Linked DNA regions of Tribolium castaneum. The protein of the gene in region 2 binds, or shares a complex with, the protein of the main gene of each other region. Links are inferred from orthologs where the notes say so. Each region holds a gene or a part of one and is shown on either strand. Other genes may lie near its edges.

The links.
Region 1: CSN7 (region 2) and CSN3 share a complex: the UniProt entries of both Drosophila melanogaster proteins name them as parts of the CSN complex. The link is inferred for Tribolium castaneum from reciprocal best matches to the Drosophila melanogaster genes CSN7 and CSN3.

What each region holds. Positions count from the first base shown.
Region 1 is NC_087394.1:32,821,124-32,825,452, reverse strand, and holds CSN3 (COP9 signalosome complex subunit 3), read right to left. Parts: upstream 2,833-4,329; 5' UTR 2,548-2,832; coding exon 2,187-2,547; intron 2,138-2,186; coding exon 1,920-2,137; intron 1,875-1,919; coding exon 1,662-1,874; intron 1,610-1,661; coding exon 1,469-1,609; intron 1,418-1,468; coding exon 1,247-1,417; intron 756-1,246; coding exon 507-755; 3' UTR 251-506; downstream 1-250. Other genes in the region: nicotinamide riboside kinase 1, read left to right, coding at 1-225; uncharacterized protein LOC135265914, read left to right, coding at 3,178-3,178, 3,231-3,424, 3,475-4,184, 4,249-4,329. UniProt on the Drosophila melanogaster protein: Component of the COP9 signalosome complex (CSN), a complex involved in various cellular and developmental processes.
Region 2 is NC_087395.1:497,768-501,866, forward strand, and holds the start of CSN7 (COP9 signalosome complex subunit 7b), read left to right. Parts: upstream 1-1,263; 5' UTR 1,264-1,360; coding exon 1,361-1,525; intron 1,526-1,573; coding exon 1,574-1,738; intron 1,739-3,656; coding exon 3,657-3,965; intron 3,966-4,021; coding exon 4,022-4,099. Other genes in the region: IQ domain-containing protein E-like, read right to left, coding at 792-953, 1,001-1,015. UniProt on the Drosophila melanogaster protein: Component of the COP9 signalosome complex (CSN), a complex involved in various cellular and developmental processes.

The sequences.
Region 1 (4,329 bases), on a different chromosome or scaffold from region 2:
ACTCTTCCTAAAGACGAATGTTTCGCACGACGTGAACAAAGGGTTTACGAGCCTCCAGACTGTCCTGGTTATTTCGAACAGTGCGCTTGGCCTGAACACTTAAAACAGAAAGAAGAAGTGGAGAACGAAGTCGAAGGAGTGCGGTTTTTCGACGGACGTTCACACAAAGCCTTAGAAGAAGTACTCGGTGATATTGATAGTATTTTGGAGTTTGTAAAGTTGTGATGCCACGTTCCGAAATATACTGATGTAGCAAGTATATCAGTATTTTATTGTAAATAACCTCAGTACAATGTAAATCTCGAATTGTTATTACTTAAAGAAACACAAAATAAATAATGTACACGTCTCTGAGAAATGGTATTAAACTACAAAAACACACAGTGTTTATAATGTTATAATTTCGATTACAAGTTAATGAGCTGACGTTTCCCTTTCTTCATGAAAAAGCTTAAATATTTCAAGTGTACAAAATGAAAACTGATAACACTGAGCAACTGAAATTTTTACATCGCGTATGTACTTTTGCTGGGCTGCTCCTCGTCTTGTACACCGCTCGACTTCTTCACGTAGACGGGATTCACTTGGATGTCTTCGTCCATTGCAAGGATTTGTTTGTCAAGTTCCATACAAATTGCTAGTTGAGCTTCTAGGCTTTTCAGCACGTCTGGGCCCCCGTATTTCTCAGGCTCGTCTCTAAACACAACCATTCCGTCTTTTTGGTTTATCGTGGCGTAGATTTGCTGATCTTCGATCTGAAAATATTTCAGAGCATTTTTTCACAATGTTACCTTTAAAAAAAATGCACTATTGTGTTTTACTTTATGTTGGCTTACCTCTATCAAAAAATTGAGAAAAATTCATTTTAACCCAAAAAATAACGTAACTTGCTAAAGAAAAGCTGTTACAACAGTGACCTACAGTTTTACAAGACAGTTAAAATTTAATCGGACAACTAATTTTAAAAAGAAGTTAACGTGTTTACAAGATTCATAACAATCTTAACAAATTTTAATAAATTACCAGAGTATAATTAGCTAAAAACTATTACTTTCCTTTCAAATATTGAGACTTGAAGAAGGGCACAAATTTAGCTAAAAACGGTCCTGTCAAGCTCACCTTTATCACGCATATTTCTTAACATTATTTGTGTGTTCTTTTGATACAAAAATGTGATTCAGGAAATAAAAGAGGTAGTTATCAAAAAACCACCGTAAAAAAATTTGCGCAATTTAGAATTTTTTACCATGTGTAAAATGTAGCGCTCGGCATCCGAAGGGCCAGGCAATCCGACTCGGCTCGCCACATCTGACAAACTTAACGTTAAGAAGGTTTTCGTCAGCCTTTGAATGTTTTTCTTGTAAAGCACTGAGGATACCTGTTTTACAAGACCTAAATTGTGATCCCTGGTGAATGCCTTAAAACCAGAAATACAACTAAAATATTATCACAAAAAAAAATTGATTACCTCTCTATGTTTGTTAAGTACAGCATTCAAATCCGCTGTGTTGTTTGAAGTGAAAGAATTTGCTAAATCATTATAAGGCTGAGATAATGGTTTGATAAACCGAGTAACCACTTGTGAAGCATATTTAGGCACTGGTTGTATCTAAAACTCGATTAAAATAGAAACATTTTCTTCACAAAATACAAAAACTCACTTTTCCATGTAATAAAAGTGAAACTATAATGTACTTCTTGTATGCCTCGAGCATAATATGAGAAACAGCATGTGCTGGGGTTGTTATAGCTACCTCAAAGAAATACAAAGCACGATCCAAATTTCTCACAGCTAAATAAATCATTCCGCCATAATAGTAATACAATAAAAAATATTTTGCTTCAAATTGGGCCCCATTAGGATTATGAACAATCTAAAAAATAAGCCAAAAATTGTAGTTCCGCATTGTTTAGGTTACCTCTTGGCAAATTCCAGTAATATCAGTATCTAAAATTTCTAGAGCAGGCTTAAAGCACTTTGCCAATAAGCACAACTGGCACAGATCAGCATGGATCGAAGTTAACTGCGAATCGAAGAACCGCAACTTCGAAATGGCCTTTCGTAAGAGGAGAATCCCTTTCATGGGTTGCTTCTGCTCAACTAGATAATTTGTTAGAGAGTGGCATAATTCAGCAACTGAAACCAGACTATTAAAAAACTGGCCACACTCCCGCCCAGTCAGTACAAGTGTCGGGGGCCAGTCTGATCTGCTCTCCGTTACAGCCATGGATAAACTCTTGCACTTGTGCAAACCGATTGTCTGGCGTATTAGCTGGGACTGTTGAATTAAATTTAGCGCATAACACCACCAAATAGCCGAGCGAGTGCTGCTGCAGATCGAGCGTCTCGAGCACGTTGTCCAAGTGCTGCGTGTTTTTCAGGAGGATATCCGACGATTTACTTAAATATTCACAAAGAACTTTATAGTTTCCTGCAAACATAACCTCATTCACACATTTCGTACGGGAATTTGCCCGATTCGGGTACAAACCATGGGATGAGAGGGTCCTAACAGTCGTCACAAACTGTTCTAAAACGGATGCCATTTCATTCGGATGTGGGAAAATTACGTTTTGCTGAATAAATTATTACTATTTTTATACTAGGATCTGAATTGACAACCGGTGTGATGACAGATTTCGAAAGGGGAGCCAACCGAAACTGGGGGAACGGGTTGGTGCAACTACTAGCGGCTAGCCCCTGCCGGTCTACAAATGTTCGCTCAGTCGAAATGTTGCGAGCGAGGTCGGAACAGTACGAACGGAGACCATAACGGACTTCTCATTTCAGCTGGGCATATTGGAATAGTGGTTTTTATGGAAATATGTTGCGCGTGGCTGGGGCTTCGCCCCAGTTAACTAAAAGGAAACAAACCCCACGACCAATTAAACTCGAAAACGTGGAACTCGAAACGTGGAATACGCGCTATCAGTCGTGACGTCACCTCCCCACTCTTATTACGGTAGGTCAGTTGCTCAAAGCTAAACAACCAGTCTTTTACATGTGGTGTAATACGTTTTTCGGTTTTTTGGTTGTGTTTGTGCGTTAATAACGTGTCAAATAGCTGCAGCGGGTGTAATTTGTGCCACTAGAGACTTTAATTTAATTTAGAAGTGACTTTTTGTGAAAATACGAACTTTATAAAAGAATACAGGGAACCACGTTGTCGGTGAGAAAGTGAGTAAGCTTTAATTATACTTTGAGAAACTATTATATTTATGCATTTTAGTGGCAGAAAAGCACATTGTTAAGTTTCACTTTATTGCGAAATTTTTTGGGGACGGTAATCGCTTTTTAGTTCGGGGAGAAAATGCTTTTACCAGCGGTCACGTCACCAAATTTAGGTTTGATGGCACAGTACAACCGATGAGAATTTCTGCAGAAGTTCTACCGAGCATGAAAAAGCTAAATTATACTGTGGAGGTTTGTATTTATTTAACTGTTAGACATTTCTTCTACAAAGTGTGTTTTAGATTTCATATGACCTAGAAGAAGGGGTTAAGACGGCACATTGTACCTGCCCAAGGGGCAACGTGGCTTGCCATCATATGGCTGCAGCATTATATTATGCTCATTATAATGTAAGTGCTACTGACATTGAGTGTCAGTGGAGTGCCCCATCAAAAACAACACCACAAACAGAAGTCATTAAGTTAGCTGATGTTTACAAGCCGAAATTATCAAACTATACGGCACTGTCTAGGTCCTCTACTGAGGACGAAATTATTCAGTTCCGTGCCGAAATAGGCGTCACGAATGTGGTGGGCTTCACTTGGCTCCTAAGACCAGAAGCAAGTGAAGAAGCCAGAAAAATTATTGCAGATATCGAAGAAATTCTACAAAGCTTAGAATACGTGCAGGCCATAGACAAACAAAAGTTTCTTTTGGAGAAGTGCAGAATAGATGAGGCACGCATTAAACTGGTTGAGGCGTGCACTCGGGGCCAACATGTTAACGAAAATTGGCATGTAGCAAGGAAACATCGTTTAACGGCCAGCAGGTTTGGCATGGTACTATCTGCTTGCAGTAGACGAAGATTCCCACCCTCTTTATTTAAAAATTTGGCGGAAGGCTATTCGCTTGACAGGGTTGCTGCTGTGCAGTGGGGTAAGACCCACGAGAAGACAGCGCTCAGAGAATTTGAAGAAGCGACGAATCTTAAAGTCCAAGAGACGGGATTTTGGTAGGTCGAAAATAATTAACACGTATAACTTAGATGAATAATGTAATATTACTTTTTTTTGTAGGTTGGAAGAATCAGGCTTTTTGGGAGCAAGTCCTGATGGATTAGTGGAAGAAGATGGGATTCTCGAAATTAAATGCCCATA
Region 2 (4,099 bases):
TTATTAGTAAGACTTATCTTTTTTGATCCTAAAAATAAAAAAGAAAGAATAAAAATAAAGAATTCTTAACAGTTTTTATATCTTATATAATTATACTTTTTTAAGCTTAGTTTTTGTTCCAATTGATCGTCTTTTTTAGATACCGAAAATTAAAAAGAAAATCAAAATAAAAAATTAAATAAGAATTTTTAACAATTATTGCCAAAAAAAAATAATTTTAACGTTCGTTTTTTATAACCACAATTAGTTATCTGTAAGACAGCAAAATTAAAACAAAAGTAAAAAATAATTATGTGGAATTTTTTACAATTTTTAAGCTGGGCTTTTGTTACTTCAATTAATTTATTAGTATATTTAATATAACTGTTTTTTTTGGCTCCGAGAATTAAAAAAATAAAAATAAGGAATCTTTGACATTTCTTACCTAAGGATGGTTAAATTTTAAAGCTCGGTTTTTATTTACTATTTAATTTATCGGTATGATTTATTTGTTGCCTTATTTGACTATACTTATTTGAATAAATTTGTACAAGTTTTATAGACGCCAATTTGTTGTAATTTTAGCAAAACTTTTTATACATAAACCTAATAATAACAGCTAAATTTAATTGTTTTACCTTCAATTACTAAGAAAATCATTTATTTATTGTCATATAAGGATAAAATTACAAACAAATAGTGTCAATGATGTTTTGTGAAAAACTTAAAAGAAATAAAAGAACAAATTCTCCGAAAGAAAGCGAAACACTAAAATTGTTTAAAAACTTGAAACTTTTAATAGAGTTTTTTACCTTTTTTGGATCCAATATAGCATCAATTTGTTTATCCTTTTTAATAATTTCATTCTGCAATTTGCGTATTTTCACCTTTAGCATACGATTTTCGGTGCTAATGTTGGATAAATTTTTCTTCAGATGAAAAATTTCAGTCCGCAAATCTCCATCATCTTGTAACTAATAATACAAAGTATAAATAAACTAAAGTATAAATATTTTATTACCTCATTTCGAAACATTGTAGCCGAAGACGAAGTTACGTTTGTTTTGTTTGTAATTTAAGTATTGATCAAACAAATTTTACAATGTAATTAGCAACGGATTGCAGCAAACACAAACATAAATATAGCCGGGTTAAAAATATTATATAATTAAAACTATTGTATCTATTTTCTACTATTTCTTACTTTCTTTAATCAATGTTGTTAAATTTTAAACAAATTTAAATTTACCGCTTTATGTCAAAAGCTGCGCAGGCGCAATTATGTTTCTTTGACATTTGACAGCAGCGTGTGACAGCTGATCGGTTGTTGTGTTTAAAAAGTGCTTCAAAAACAACAAATTAACTAATAAAAACTAAAAAAATGGTTATTGAAAAAAATCCTTTCCCTGGCAATGCCTTGGAACAATTTGTTTTATTGTCAAAGTCAACAAAAGGGGCTGCTTGTTCCGAACTGATCAAGCAAGTGTTGGAAGCCCCCGGTGTTTACGTTTTTGGTGAATTACTTCACATGCAAAACATTGAAGAGGTAATCAAACATATTTTTACATTTATACATTAACTAAGTGTTTTGTAGTTGAGTAATACACCACAGAAAAATTTCTACAACACTCTCAACTTGTTTGCTTACGGAACCTACAAGGATTATCTAGCAAATAAGAAGGATTTAATTGAATTAAGCCCAGCTCAGAAGAAAAAGCTTCAACATTTAACCATTGTTACGTTGGCCACCAAATCAAAGGTAGTTAAAGTAATTCCACTTTAGTGAAATTAAGTTTTTAATATGGATAACTATAGATTAGGAAACGACACGACCTACAAATAAAAAGTCCTCGTTCTCGATAGTTTCGATAGTGTTGTGTAGATGGCGGAGCACATTATTGTATTAAAATTTATCAATGGTTTTAATAGCAGTTAGCACATGGTATCCAAAAAAAGCATGTTAATGCAGCTTTTGGCTATCATTTTTTATTAAAAAAAATACAAGTTATTGCAATTTGCGAATGTTTCGGCATAAAAATGTCATCAGCTCTTAATGATTTTGTTTAATCTAGTTTGTTTAAAAACAAAAAAATTGTTGGCGTTCTTTCCAAAGCACTCTTTGTAAAAATGCTTTTTTCTCCATTTTGATGAGCATTTAAGATTCGATTATATCATGTGATACATAGATGTAATCGGAAATGAAAACACTTCAAAAATACAAAAAGCAAATATGGCTTCCATAAGAAAAAACAAAATTTAGTGTTGTAACACTGACATCAAGAACGCCTTGGAAAATGGGACGACAGATTTAGATTTCTTGTAAAAATGTACCTAAAGAACGTTCTAGTTAAAAACGTCTAGTTCTTTTGGTTTTCACTCGAAAAAAATTAAAACCCAAATTTTAACCACCTCGTATCTCGTATAATAACTGAGATTCCCATGGTGGAGCTGAAAAAACGGCCACCCAGTACATTGTTTTGACTACTATAACAATCTAAAGATAATCGAGTATATTCCTAAAATTCATAAAAGGGACATAAATTTGTACCATGTTACATGTTCAAGTTAACAAAAAAAACAAATATAAAAAAATTAAAAAAAGATTTTTTAACCATTTTTGCCTAGCGATAATCAAACTTTTCTGCTCGGTTTTTGTTACTACAATGAATTTATCAGTATCTAATACGAGTGATTTTTTTGAAAGTGAAAACAAAAAAATTAAAAACATTTTAAGCTTCTTTTTGATCCAAAAACTAGAAATTTTTACCGTACTTTATAATAAATCTTCTAAAAAGTCTGCAATTTTTTTTTATTTTTTGTCAAAAATAATTAAACTATCGACAAATTTACGTCATTTTCAAGCATTTTTGCACAAAAACTATTCAGTTCAAAATTGTACTATTTTTTAACTTTGTAAAAAAGTTGCATTGCATTTTTCTCTACAACTTTTTTTTAATAGAACGACTCTATTTTCTTAACGGCAATGGAAAGAATATCGATATTTATGGTGACTTTTATCAATACGTCCTATACCAATCTCTTACAGTTTTTGAAAAAAATCACAAAAAACGGATTTTACTTGGTAGTTTTCATAGTTAATCAAGTATACCTTGCAAAATGGTCAACAATTATCAAACTTCAATTTTTTATTTAGTTTTTAGCTGTTTCATTATCGAATAATCAGTAAAATAATCACATTTAATTATAGTTTATTATAAGTTAGTGAATTATGTAAAGTAACTCAGTCAGTTTGCCATTGATCCTTGAACTTCTTGAATGAAAATGGTAAATAAATAGGACATTTCTTTTTGTTAACAGTACAATTTTATCGTATTTTTCAAAAGTTTACTTGATTAAAAATGAAAATAATGAGCTAAAATTCTGTTTTTTGCGATTATTTCAAATACTGTAAGAAATAGATATATAGAAGATGTTATTAAAAGTATGCATAAAAATTGATGTTCTTTTGATTGCTATTTAAAAAACTGGGTAATTCCATTTGAAAAACTGTTTTATAATCATTTTTTAATCATCATTTTCAACAAATCATACCTCTAGCTATGTTAGAAGTTAAAGTTTCTAATGTAGGCTCTAAAAGAATCAGCCTATCTACTAATTTAACAAAATTTGATTGATTTTTCTTAGAGCAAGTAATAATAAAAACAATGTTTTTTTAGTGTATTCCGTACAACACCCTTCTGGAAGAGCTAGGCATAACAAATGTTCGTGATTTGGAGGACTTAATAATTGAGGCGATTTACGCTGACATTATTCATGGAAAATTGGACCAGAAAAATAGTCAATTGGAGGTTGATTATGCCATAGGTCGTGATATTCGTCCTGAAGACATTAATGTAATTGTGAATTGTCTCCAAGACTGGTGTTCGGCCTGTGAAGGTGTTTTGGCTTGTGTTGAAACACAAATACATAGAGCAAATAATGAAAAAAATAAATCAATGTTGAGAAAAGCTGAAGTGGAGCAAGAGGTATTTTTTTCGAGTTTGTATCATTACTTTGTTTTAGATATGCATTTTTTTTGTAGATTAGTAACATTAAAAAGACTCTGAAAACTCAATTACAAGAACGCTCTGATGGAACTGACGAGGCTATGGCTACTGAT